3 linked regions of the Oryzias latipes genome follow. The protein of the gene in region 2 binds, or shares a complex with, the protein of the main gene of each other region. Links are inferred from orthologs where the notes say so. Each region holds a gene or a part of one and is shown on either strand. Other genes may lie near its edges. The genes, in order: cpsf4, cpsf2 and cpsf3.

Region 1 (4,427 bases), on a different chromosome or scaffold from region 2:
TGTTTACTTACTGCATAAATTTACAGGATTTGCCTTCTGGACAGAAGCCCACCAGATAATTCACACAGATCACTCTTCTGGTGTGTCTGTGTCTGCAGTCAGGACCTAGTGGGGAAGGAGAACAAAATGAAGATTACTTATATCAGTGGTTCCCAACTTTTTTCAGGCCCCGGTCTGATTGAACAGTCAATATTTTCACACAGCAGTCTGTATGAGACTGAAAGGGACGACCAACTTTTTTTTATCTTTGCCTTCAGTTTCCCTTTAACTTTTGAGGGTCAAGTTTATCTTCATCGTCTGTAAAATATTTGTATTTCTATGGATATAGTTCACCCTGAAAGGCTTAAGAAAAGCAGGATACAGGCCCGTTAATCCATAACTGTCAAAGTGGAAGCTACAAAAATCGAATTCCAACTTCAGCCTCGTCTGACTTTTAAGGACAGATAAATATGAAAAATAATTGTGTCTAAAAATTGTATTTTCTAAACATACTAATAAACCATTTCAGCAACGTTATTTGCAAACATCCTCGTAACATTACACAGCAGGTTGCTGAATATGATGCCCCATTGTTATGGCGTGTGGGAACAACTGTCACAATGAATCCACATTTGCAGTAAAGACTCCTGGTTTTTGTCTGTTCAAATGCAGATTTCTTGTATTTTGAAGATAAAGGCTCTTCTTCTGTTTCCTCACTTAATATGCTCTATGAACAAAAAAAACTTTCCAGGAACATTTGCGTTTTTGTCAGCACGTCACTGAGCAATTTGTTATGTGTCAAGAATGAGTCAGATGTGGTGGGGAGAATTCAGAAATTTTTCAAAATAAAGCCTCTTTCCGAATCAAATAAAAAATAAAAACGGTAAAAATGTGGGTTACAACGAATCCAGAGCACGAAAACCTGACACTGGGCTGGACCTTACCGTGTTTGCAGAAGCCTCTGTCGTACCAAGGACAGTCTTTGATCTTAGACTCTGGATCGATGTGCAGGAAGGGACATTCCTTGTTGCTGCACTCACCTGAGAGCCAACACACAGTTTGAATCTATCAGACCTGCGTGCTAAGCAATGGAAAGCGTTTTAAACGAGGAAGTCAAGTGAACCCACCAAACTTTGAGTAGAAATAGCATTCAGGCATCTTGGTCATGTCGTATTCGTGCAGAAACTCGCACTGGTCTCCCTTCTTACAGAGCCCTCTGAGCCAGTGCTTACACACCACCGTCTTCTCCCCGCTGATGTGACGGAACGGACACATTCCACCTGAGAGACACAGACACAGCTTTGTGGATTCATACGACACATGCAGGGATCGTTTTCCTCACTTTTATATGAAAGCGTGACCCACCAAAACCTCACACAAATATAGACATACGATTAAAAATAAAGTCTCTGCAGAACTGCCTTCTTTGTAACCCCAGAAATGTAAAACAGGTTTTAGGGTGCACATAAACAGGACAAAATAAAAAGTAAGAAGGCCAGACAATAATGATTACATAAATGATTACATCCAGACCTTTTAGCCGTATTTTGCTCATGTCTGCCTTAGTGTGACACTGAGTACATACAGAAAATCACAATAAAACACAAGAAGTTAATGAAATATAGAGCTGTAAAAGGTAAACTGAACATCACGACAGTGAAAGCCACGAACGGGCAAATGTCCCAACTAAATTCTGTAAAAATCTTAATCAGTGTAAGTCATCTATTAAAAAAAAATGAAATCAGGATTTTACAAACAGCAGTAGTTTGTAACTAAAGCTCTGGCTCATTATTTAAGAAAAAGGAAATAAGGTTATTAAAGAGTTATTTCATAAAGTTTAAAAATTATTTTAAACATTTTTTACAAGTTAGCGTTTGTCAATAGAATGCAAATAAGGTTTTAAAGAATAATTATTTCAAAGCAAACTTTTGCAAAGAAAACAAAAAAGTTTAAATTTACTTAGTTTACCAAACATATCCAGAAAGAAATAATAATAATCACCATTAACCATTTTAAATGAAAGAAAAATATTTAAAAATAGTTGTATCCACCTCTTTAGTTTATCAAAGAACTTTTTTTCAGCGGTTTATTATTTCTGTAATAAAAAAGTTATAGTAAACTGGTTCCCGCCTACAACGTACTAAAATGACAAACGATACCAACAACATGTAAACATTGCAGTTTCCTTCCAAATAAAACGTTTCTGAACATTTAAAACTGTTAAATGCAGATAATAATAGCAGCGCAACAGATGCTTCTGACTGTAGATGCTTTACCTTTCATACACGTTCCCTTCATGAAGAACTCGCACACAGCTGAGCCGGACTCTGCAAAAAGACAACATTATAACTGAACTGACAATTATAACGTGTTGTTTCTATTAAAAATAACAGAAACCAAAGAGGGCGAACCTGAGAAAAACTATGGTTATTCTCAACAAAAAAAGATGCTAGCATTAGCATAAGCTAGCATCCATGCACTTACTGTCCATGCCGGGAAACGGCAAAGGCTGCGCTCCCAGCTGCTGCTCCACAGCGATCTCCAGGTCGAACTTGATGTGATCCACGTTTGCTAGTAGCTCCTGCATGTTTGCCTTGAGTTGGTAGCTTTCAAAGCAAAGACTTGTTCGGTTAACTTAAGCTAAGATAGCTTAATGTCGAAACTGTTAGCCGGCGATTCCCTCATTAGCCAGCTAAAGTGGCTAACGGGGCGAGCCAGGCGAAACAACAAGAGCAGAGGATAACAATGAGATAAGGTAAGGATCACCGAAGTCCTTATATCAACTATTTCCAAACAAACAGGTGAACATGACTTAATATTTTTGTCTCCGAATCGACAGAGGTTCTGTTTGAGGACGCGCGCACATTGACCTCTGACCTGACGAATTCAGACGGATCTAAACGATTGTCGAGCAAGTCGAGTGATGTCACCGTTGAGTTAACCAAACCTGTTCATTTCTGACACTTTGCCTCTGGCAAATGACCAAAAACGAATGAAAATTTCATTTATTTTACTATTTTATTGTTTAGACATATTGGACACGTATGTGCATCTGATCATTTTTCTTAACTTGCACCTCGTGTATGCATTTCCATGTCCAATTATTTATAAAAATAAACAAAAAACAGGTTAAAGTTCAATTCAGAGATTAGCATGTCACACACCAGATCATGAATACAAAATGCTTTTGATGCTTCATCACTGCAAACCCCTCTCCTAAACAAAAAATCACTCATTCAAAGTCTGGTATGATCAACCAAATGATTTGATCCATTGACTGCATAAGAGACTCTAATACAACGTTGTGATCTGCTGGTTTTAGGGTGAAACACGACGCTTCAGAAATGAGTAATTGTTCAGCATTTTATAATCATTGGAAGCATGATGATATGACATGTTTAAGCAAGAATAAGCTTTCTAAGCTTTTATTGTGTTTTTCTACAGTGGAAAAAGAAAAAAAAAACAGTATTCAATACTTTAATACTTCAATACATAGATGCTGAAAAGGCTTTTGACAAAATAGATTGGACATTTTGCAAGTTCGATTATTAGTTCGAATTTGGAAAAACATGTAATTGTTGGTTTAGATGCCTGTACAAGAACTCTAAATCAAAGTAAAAATGATTGGACATTACAGTTTTTTAAATAATAGAAAATAAAATAAAGGGGAGTCAGACCTTACCCTCTACCCTTTTTTGTATCAAACCTCTAAGAGAGATGATACATCAAGAAATTCATACAGGAGTTTATTTATAAATGATCCCTTTATGCCAATGATATTTTGCTATTTGTTAAAAGCCCGTTGCTTCAAGACTTACGTCATGTTGACAGGAATATAGACGTTTCAGGCTATAAAATAAACCAAAAGAAAGCAGAAGTAATGATGTTATCAGGAATATGGCAAAATAACCTAAAACTTTAGATATCAATAAAAATAAGAAGATTTTATTGTATTAGTCTTTAAAAGGACAAAGAAAAAACAGTATTCATTGGCGGTTTCATGAAATCTTTTTATTACAGTGAATGAGTTACACATACTCATGGAATGTTTTTGGACTTAATTTACTAAAAATCGAAATTCCAGTCATGAATTTCCAGTCAGTTTTGATCGTAACATCTAAAAGATGTGAATCCCAAGTAAAACATCAGGACTCTGTAACATTACTAAATCATGACACAATGACATTTGCAGGACTGAGCTTAAATGTGTCTTTAATAAAAACAATTCTATTGAATTATCAAGTGAGGAATGCTTTAAGGTCAGAATACACCCATTGACTGGTGTGTTTAAACAATAAACGTTAGTCCAACTCTCGTCTGGCCTCACAGTTCCGGCAGGCCGGGCATGGGGAACTGACCGGCAAAAGCCTCCACCTCGGCTCTCAGCGCAGCTACTCGCTCCTGAAACTTCTCTCCCTGAGCCAGAGCCTGGACAAACTCCTTCAGAG
Region 2 (4,136 bases):
TTGATGCTTTCTAACGTGCAGCCGTTGAGGTGGCTAAGACGGATAGAAGACACTGAGAATCCAAACGTTTCTTACAATCACATTTTGCTTTGACGTTACTTACATTTCTCTCTTGTGGTTGAAATCCACAGCATATACAATCTCCTCCTCTCCATCCTTGACAATTTTCCAGATGGTTCCTCCAATCATGTGTCCAGCTGGAAGAGGAGTGATGGAAAGACCATGGCCTTTTCCTAAAAACCAAGGGAACGGATTGATTAAAAATACACACATTGTTAGAATGGCCAAGTTAGAGCAGTAAAGTAACGGAAACTCACCTTTCAAATTGACAATCTGAGAGTATTTTAACTGCTGGATTTTGTCAAAAGCGCTGTCGACATCATCCAGGGTGAAAAGTGTGAAGTCTTCACTGTTGTTTCGAGACTAAATGGTAAAAAGCAGAAAACATTTACAAAAAAAAAGCAGAAATTTCAGGCCTATAAATGACCTCATCTTTTATCCATTAGCCAATTCTAAAAGTCCCTCTCCTGCTTTACCTGATACAGATCATACATGAACATCTGACCCATCTTGTAGACAGGAATTGTGGCATAGATGGTACAGTTGAGGCCCAATTTGCCCACGGCATAAGGGAGGGCTCCGAGGTGAATGGGGTCAGGGTGTGAGAGAAGAACTGCATCAACCTGATGAACATAGCTGCCGGCAGAAAATTACACAACAATGGGTTTATAACAGAAATATCAACATAATCAGAAAAGCCTCTCACAAAAAAATATATCATCAGCTAATAAGTCCATGATTAGTAGCAATTATTTCATTATAGACGTGTATTCGGATGTATATGCGTATGTATATATATTTTCCAATCAATTCATGACTAATTATCCTATCTATCTATCTATCTATCTATCTATCTATCTATCTATCTATCTATCTATCTATCTATCTATCTATCTATCTATCTACCCAGGCTGTGTCCCACCAAAGTGGGGTAGCCTAGACAGGGTATCCATTCTTACCGCCCTCCTTCTCTTCCACAAACCCTCCTCCTTCAGTGTGTGCGTGTGTGCACGTGTGTGTGTGGGTATGTGACTGGTTTAAGCCACACCACACTGCACCAGGGTCAGCTGCACAGCCCAGTGTAGGCACCTCCACAGCAGGGCCTCAGCCAAGGCTAGTTTCCCCTTGCCGCTTCATCCCAAGACCAGACCTCTACCACGCCCATCCATTCATTCATACACAAACTCTCTCCACCCATCCCTGTCCTGAGCAGCCTCTCTCCCCTGCACCACAGTCATCCCTCTTGCATTCATCGCTCTTTTTACACCCTCTGTCCATCCCATTCGCGGTCTTCCTCTCATTCTCACTCCACTCACATCAGATTCGTACACCTTTTTCACCAATCGCTCCCTTCCCATTCTTTCAACATGTCCAAACCATCCCAGTGCCTTTTGCTCTGATCTATAAGCCAACTCTCGCATCACACCAGTTCTTTCTCGGATTACTTCATTTCTCACACGATCCATACGTGTCACCCCACACATACTCCTCAAACATCTCATCTCAACTACATTCAGCTTCCTCTTTTCCACCACTTTCAGACTTCATGTTTCAGCCCCATATAACGCTGCAGGCACCACCACACCCTCATACAATCTCATTATGCTAAGTTAGATATATCTACGTATAGATCTATATTTCTGTTGTTTCTCTTCGTTAGTTTGATTTTGATTAAAATGAACTATTTCCAAATACACAATCCAAATGTTTACAACGTGATGTGGATTTATCCGCTCAAATGTGCTTAAGTACTGTCAGATCTTCCCGAACGACATCACAATGAACGATCAGACTGTGTTTATATCTTTATATACATTTTGCATGACCTATTATCAGAATCAAATCTGTTTTGAGGCACAGTAAACATTTGACAATACTAGAAATTGAAATGTCAGCTGCAAAATCCAGAATACAGCCTAAGAGAAAAACAAACAAACAAAAAACACAAACAGATTCAAACTTTTTTCCAGAAAGGGGGTTGAGGCTTAATGGTCCAAGAGGAGATGCTCTGGTACAGCAGGTGAGAATGGATTTGATGAGGTGGTTTAGAAGTTCAACAACAGCCTCAAAGGAAGGTGGAAGATCTTCAGCTCCCTCAAGAGACTCTGAAGTATATGCATGGGTGTAAAGTTCTTATTTACTATCAAACTCACCGCTTCATGGCATCAATGATGTCCATTGAAAAATGTTCGTCCCATCCACAGTCCAAGAGGATGCGAAATTCATCCACCTGCAGGAGATAACAGAGGGCGGACTCCTCCTGAACCCCTGACACGGCCGTCAGCTTTATAATCGAGGTCATTTTTCTTCACTATAAACGCTGTGAAAAATAAAAAAAGATTAGCACAGTGCCCTTCCACCGACCTTTGATTAAAACAAGCTTGTACAAAAAACCCGTTTACGTTAATTACAACTAATATTAGGATCAACAAACACGGTATATAATAGGTGTTATAAATTTAAAGGAAGTTTAGTGTGGCGGGAATTAAACACAAGATGCGTAATTAAAATCCCACAAATTAATGGAACCGATAAGAGACTTTGGTAAAAACACAAATAATAAATAAAACAAAACAATGTGGTTGTTAGCTAAAGTTAGCACGGTCGTTAGCTAGTTACCCGGCAAGTCCTTTTAGCATGTTAACGTTACTGGTTGTTCACTGCAGTTTCATTGTGTGTCATACCATTTAAAGTGGGTTTGAATTAGTTATCCTTCCTGAGAAAACAAAGTAAATTAACCGACTACAATTCCCAAGTTAAAGCATTTTCTTTAGTAGCTACTGTCTACAAAACATTAATGTGGTAGACATTTTTGCGCCAGCATCACGTGACACAGGTCAAATGAATGTACCACTAATAGGGGTGTTGCCACAATATAAATTGCACCAAAACAACGCCAAAATGTGTAGTTTTTAAAAGATGCGGTATAATATTATAATTCTATTCTATTATTCTACAGTATGTAACTTTCCCTTTTTGTCATGTATTAGCTTTGCAAGTTGGCTTTCACGCGCTGATCCGCGTCGTTGACACTCAATTGGTAGAGTCCGATGTCCTTCGCTTGGCGAGTCGGTAGCTAAAGGCCGCTGGTTGATACAAAAATAAGGTAATATTTTTTACAATGGTCATTACATTATTGTTTTTTTCAATATATTGTTTTGTTTAATGCTGTGTTACATTTTGGGTAAATAAATAAGCAATTACAATCATTCTTCTAACAAAATAAAATGTTTGCTGCTAAATTTGCTAACTGCTACACAGCACTGTAACTAATTGATCCCTAACCAATGTTTGTTAGTATTATTTATTGTTTTTAGCCATTTTTTTTAACTCTGAGGTGGCTTATTTTTTTTGCCGTTTGTAACACTTCTTTCGTTCTTATTGGTGTTATAAGAGTCAAGTTAGCTTAAAATTAAATGGATAAACTTGTCAAAGGAAGGCAGCATTACTTTGTGTAACCTTTTTTTTTCTTTCCAAAATATGGAAGCCATTCAACGTCCTTTACAGAGATTACATACTTTTGTAGCTTGAAGGAGAATGAATGATAGCAAAACACAGTTTAAACGAACTAAATGATGAATGCAACTGGGAGTGCTGCATTTCAGCAAACCAACATTAAAGAACAACGGTTTCAGTTGTTCGTGACCTGATCTACTAGTAGCTGGTGCATAAACAGCTTAACATCAGAGGTCCAAAAATATCAAGTCCTATTTGTTTTTGGTTGCTTGAAACAATTTGATGTATACAACAATTTTTGTTGACAATAGAATTTAAAAATATACTTTTATGGGTTTTTAAAACTGTTTATTGGAAATCCATGTTGCTATCACCCTCGGTTATGTTAGATTTTATTGTGTCTTCTAATCTGCCCAAATTTACTTTATTCTTAATTTCAAAGCCAAATAAGTGTCATTACTGCAGTTTAATTGACATCAAATCCTCCATCTCAACTTTAAATGTGTGTAAATATAATTTTTTGTTTTATTCTTTTAGGGAGCCATGGTGAATCCTGCAGCCCGCCGATACTGGGTACATTTATTTGTTCCCATGGGCTTTGTGATTGGCTGGTACCTTGA
Region 3 (3,366 bases), about 17 Mb from region 2:
TGAGGTCAGTGTGAACAAATGCTAGAAATAACCAGCAGACCTGAAGTGCAGAAATTCCATGCAGCTCCTGAATGCACCTCCAGCCACAGTGTATGTGACTTAAATGTGTGCAATAAAGTCAGAATGAAATGTTTGGGATTGATGTTCAGGCAGACACTTCAGTCCTGGATGTGAGTTTGAGCCGTCTGTCAGAGATGCTAAAGAAGACCTCACATACCAAAGTGACTAGAATAATATAATCCTTCAAAAACAACATGCTAAAAGGTGACAGTGCAGGACATGTAGAACACAGATATACTAGTCCAGGCCTGGCATTTTGCACCAAAGTCACTTTATTCAACTTCAATGTGGCTGACTCGGCGTGCACGGCTGCTTTGATAGGATGGATCTGGGCTTGATCTGCAGGTGTGTGAGTGATTACCACATGGGGAGGCTTGAGTGCTCGGATGAACTCGCTTGTCTGCTGGTAGTCTGTGTGAGCAGAGAAGGAGATGTAGTCCACAGACATCTTCAGAGGGAGCTTCTGGCCCGACATGGTGGTGATCTCGTCAGGCTCCGTCATGATGTGCTGCAACAGCAGGATCAGAGCAGGGGCAGAAATGTGAAGCACGTTTCTCTGTGGAAATGTGAGCTGGACTCTGTTTTCACTTCAAGTCTCTGAACCTTCTGAGAGACGAAGGGCAAACAGACCAGCGATGCTTCCTCCACCAGCATCAGTTCTACTTTTGACAGGTTTTCTACAGTGTTTCAGTCAAATTGGACTGATCTTCACCCTAATGTGTTCCGTGTTGTCATGGCAACACACTGCCACCCACAGTCCTTCAGCTGCATGTCAGCAGGATTCCAGCTGGTTCAAAGCGCTGCAGAGATGGAGGGGGTTTCCCCCCAGTGACGGGGGCTTTGGCTAAGCAATTCTTGGCAGGTTCACCTTGGCCAGCGTTCCCTCAACGCAGTATCCAGCGATGATGACACCGTTTCTCTTGTCCGTGCACCAGCTCTCAAACAGCTCCCGGGACAGACCGCTCTGCATCATCCCGGGGGACGCCATGACCACGCTGGGGCCAATGTCATCAAAGTGATCCATGCTCTGAAAGCACAACAGCATTAATACAGGAGGCGGCTTCAACAGAAACTCTTATTTTAACGGTTTCATTTGTCATTAATTTTTGTTCTTTAACCACCTCTTTTACAAACATTGAAGCTGTTTCAAATGAAACTACATTTAAATAAGAGGGAACTGTGTCACTTTTCCCTTTCTGCTTAAATCATTACCACGATGTTGCCTCTGTTGAAATAAAAGTGTCTTTCCCTGGACTTTTTATGCCACATTTTATGTCAAAATCCTGGGAGAAACAGCAAGTTCTCCAGTGGTGTGAGATGAACCAGTCACATTAGGCTGAAGAACAGGAAAATGCAATAAAGTGTCAAAAGTTGAGTGCTAGAACACACATGAGCAGCAATGTCTCCACTCTCCAGCTGGAGTTAGCTCCTCCACTGTGTTCATGTCTCCTGGAAGAGGCCGATGCTTCCTGACGCCTGTGCTGTTCTCCTTCCATCACTTCAGTGTCACACATTCCACACTGTTGGGAGGAAGCTTCCTCCCAGGCTGAGCAACACCATGACAGAGCATGACAGTCTGGTGAGGGGTGGGGGGGTTGGGACAGCGCTTCACTTACAACTTTGTGATGCCATCAGTTCAGTAAGTGCACATTAAATGATGCTCTGAGTTTCATGAACATGTCAGAAATGTGGCTTTGGCGTGTGACTTTGTCTTTGCTGCTGCAGTTCTGTGCTCACCTTCAGGTTACTGATGTGTTTGAAGACAAAAGGGTTGTTGACGTTGATGGCTTTGCGGATCTTGTCGTTCATGGCGTTGATGTAGGTTTGATAGACAGCCATGCATTTCCGGGCCAGAGACGAAGCGTAGTAGATGGGAATGTCGTGGAGCTCTGGGTGGTTCTGCCAGTACTCGTCTGGACCACAGGCACAAACAGTTTCTGCGTCACCATCATCACAGGCTTCAGAACCAGAAGGTGATGATCTGTGCCTGTGCACTCACCCAGGATGAGCAGCAGCTCTTGAGCCCGTCCCAGAGCAAACACGGGGATCAGACAGCGACCCTCCCTGTTTACAATGTCGTGCACCGTGTTGCAGAAACGGGCCTCTCTCTCCTCACGCTTCTCATGGATGTGTGTTCCATAGGTGGATTCCTGACAGAAAGGATCAGATATTTGTTCAACACCATTCTGAGACGGGACAGAGGACCCAATACTACCAGACCAACAGACTATGGAGACGAAAAGCTCTTAGTTTAGAATTCATTAAAACTCGGTATATTCATTTAATGAGTAAAACAAAATTCTCAATAACTCCTACGGTGTTTTTGCATTAATAACATGAGCACTTTCCATCTAGAGTCTGGTGTCTTTTGGCTGCGTGTTTGGACAGCTCACAGGTCTAACCGCCCTCAGAAGCAACGTTTTTGTGACATTTGAGACGCCGTGCGCTGTCTGCATGTACTTTAGAAAAATCCAGCCGCACTTTGGACCCTTTGCTCGCGTCGCTCTGCCATCACTGTGCGTTTGTCGTTACACACTTGTTAGCAGTGGAATACATGAGGGACAAAGTATGAGCAGCCCCCCCCCGTCGTACTGGAGCAGGAAAGGAAAAGCAGCCACATTCAAACAAAGTAGTGCACGCTGTGTGGGCGCTGCTGCCCCACTTGGCCGGTACCGTTGATCCCATTATGGCTGAAACCTATCAGTCCAGTAACTGATGACGTGGCACTGGTACCAAACGATACCGTTTCAGTACTGCATCCCTACTGATGTCTGAACATGAGACAGCATGAGACATGAGCCTGCGCCTGAGCTGGTCACTAAGGGGAGGAAAAATATCTGATCATCGGGGGGGGGGGTTTAAAGCCAAACTCACTGTGATGAGAATGTCTGGTTTCACACTTGGGATCTCCGCCGCCATCAAGTGTCTGTCCTCTTGGCGGGAGAAGTCTCCTGTGTACAACAACTGCAGGGACACAGACAAGCACTGAGCACCAGAGACAAACCGCTTTAGGAAGACGGATCCAGACACAAACCTACCTTGACTCCTGCGATCTCGATCATGAACATAGCGGCTCCAAGCACATGGCCAGCATGATAGCACCAGAACTTGATGCCAGCCACCTCCTTTACCTCGTGGAAGTTAATGGTCTCAATCTTTTCCATGCTGTCTTCCAGGTCCGTCTCCGTGTAGAGCATCTCATCAGCAGAAATGTTACTGCAGACACACAGACGGGTCAGAACAAAAAACCCAAGCTGTGCCCCAACTCCAGAATATCAGCCACAGGTCCTACGGCATCACTAGAGA

What was found.
Region 1: cpsf2 (region 2) and cpsf4 share a complex: the UniProt entries of both Homo sapiens proteins name them as parts of the cleavage and polyadenylation specificity factor (CPSF) complex. The link is inferred for Oryzias latipes from reciprocal best matches to the Homo sapiens genes CPSF2 and CPSF4.
Region 3: cpsf2 (region 2) and cpsf3 share a complex: the UniProt entries of both Homo sapiens proteins name them as parts of the cleavage and polyadenylation specificity factor (CPSF) complex. The link is inferred for Oryzias latipes from reciprocal best matches to the Homo sapiens genes CPSF2 and CPSF3.

What each region holds. Positions count from the first base shown.
Region 1 is NC_019866.2:19,283,254-19,287,680, forward strand, and holds the start of cpsf4 (cleavage and polyadenylation specificity factor subunit 4), read right to left. Parts: upstream 2,882-4,427; 5' UTR 2,567-2,881; coding exon 2,464-2,566; intron 2,307-2,463; coding exon 2,256-2,306; intron 1,260-2,255; coding exon 1,107-1,259; intron 1,020-1,106; coding exon 924-1,019; intron 106-923; coding exon 12-105; intron 1-11. Other genes in the region: shmt1 (serine hydroxymethyltransferase, cytosolic), read right to left, coding at 4,303-4,427. UniProt on the Homo sapiens protein: Component of the cleavage and polyadenylation specificity factor (CPSF) complex that play a key role in pre-mRNA 3'-end formation, recognizing the AAUAAA signal sequence and interacting with poly(A) polymerase and other factors to bring about cleavage and poly(A) addition.
Region 2 is NC_019882.2:5,327,492-5,331,627, reverse strand, and holds the start of cpsf2 (cleavage and polyadenylation specificity factor subunit 2), read right to left. Parts: upstream 2,905-4,136; 5' UTR 2,745-2,904; intron 2,381-2,744; 5' UTR 2,363-2,380; coding exon 2,214-2,362; intron 697-2,213; coding exon 537-696; intron 424-536; coding exon 318-423; intron 234-317; coding exon 104-233; intron 34-103; coding exon 1-33. UniProt on the Homo sapiens protein: Component of the cleavage and polyadenylation specificity factor (CPSF) complex that play a key role in pre-mRNA 3'-end formation, recognizing the AAUAAA signal sequence and interacting with poly(A) polymerase and other factors to bring about cleavage and poly(A) addition.
Region 3 is NC_019882.2:22,750,267-22,753,632, forward strand, and holds part of cpsf3 (cleavage and polyadenylation specificity factor subunit 3), read right to left. Parts: intron 3,277-3,366; coding exon 3,099-3,276; intron 3,025-3,098; coding exon 2,935-3,024; intron 2,211-2,934; coding exon 2,060-2,210; intron 1,974-2,059; coding exon 1,798-1,973; intron 1,088-1,797; coding exon 929-1,087; intron 569-928; coding exon 422-568; intron 1-421. UniProt on the Homo sapiens protein: Component of the cleavage and polyadenylation specificity factor (CPSF) complex that plays a key role in pre-mRNA 3'-end formation, recognizing the AAUAAA signal sequence and interacting with poly(A) polymerase and other factors to bring about cleavage and poly(A) addition.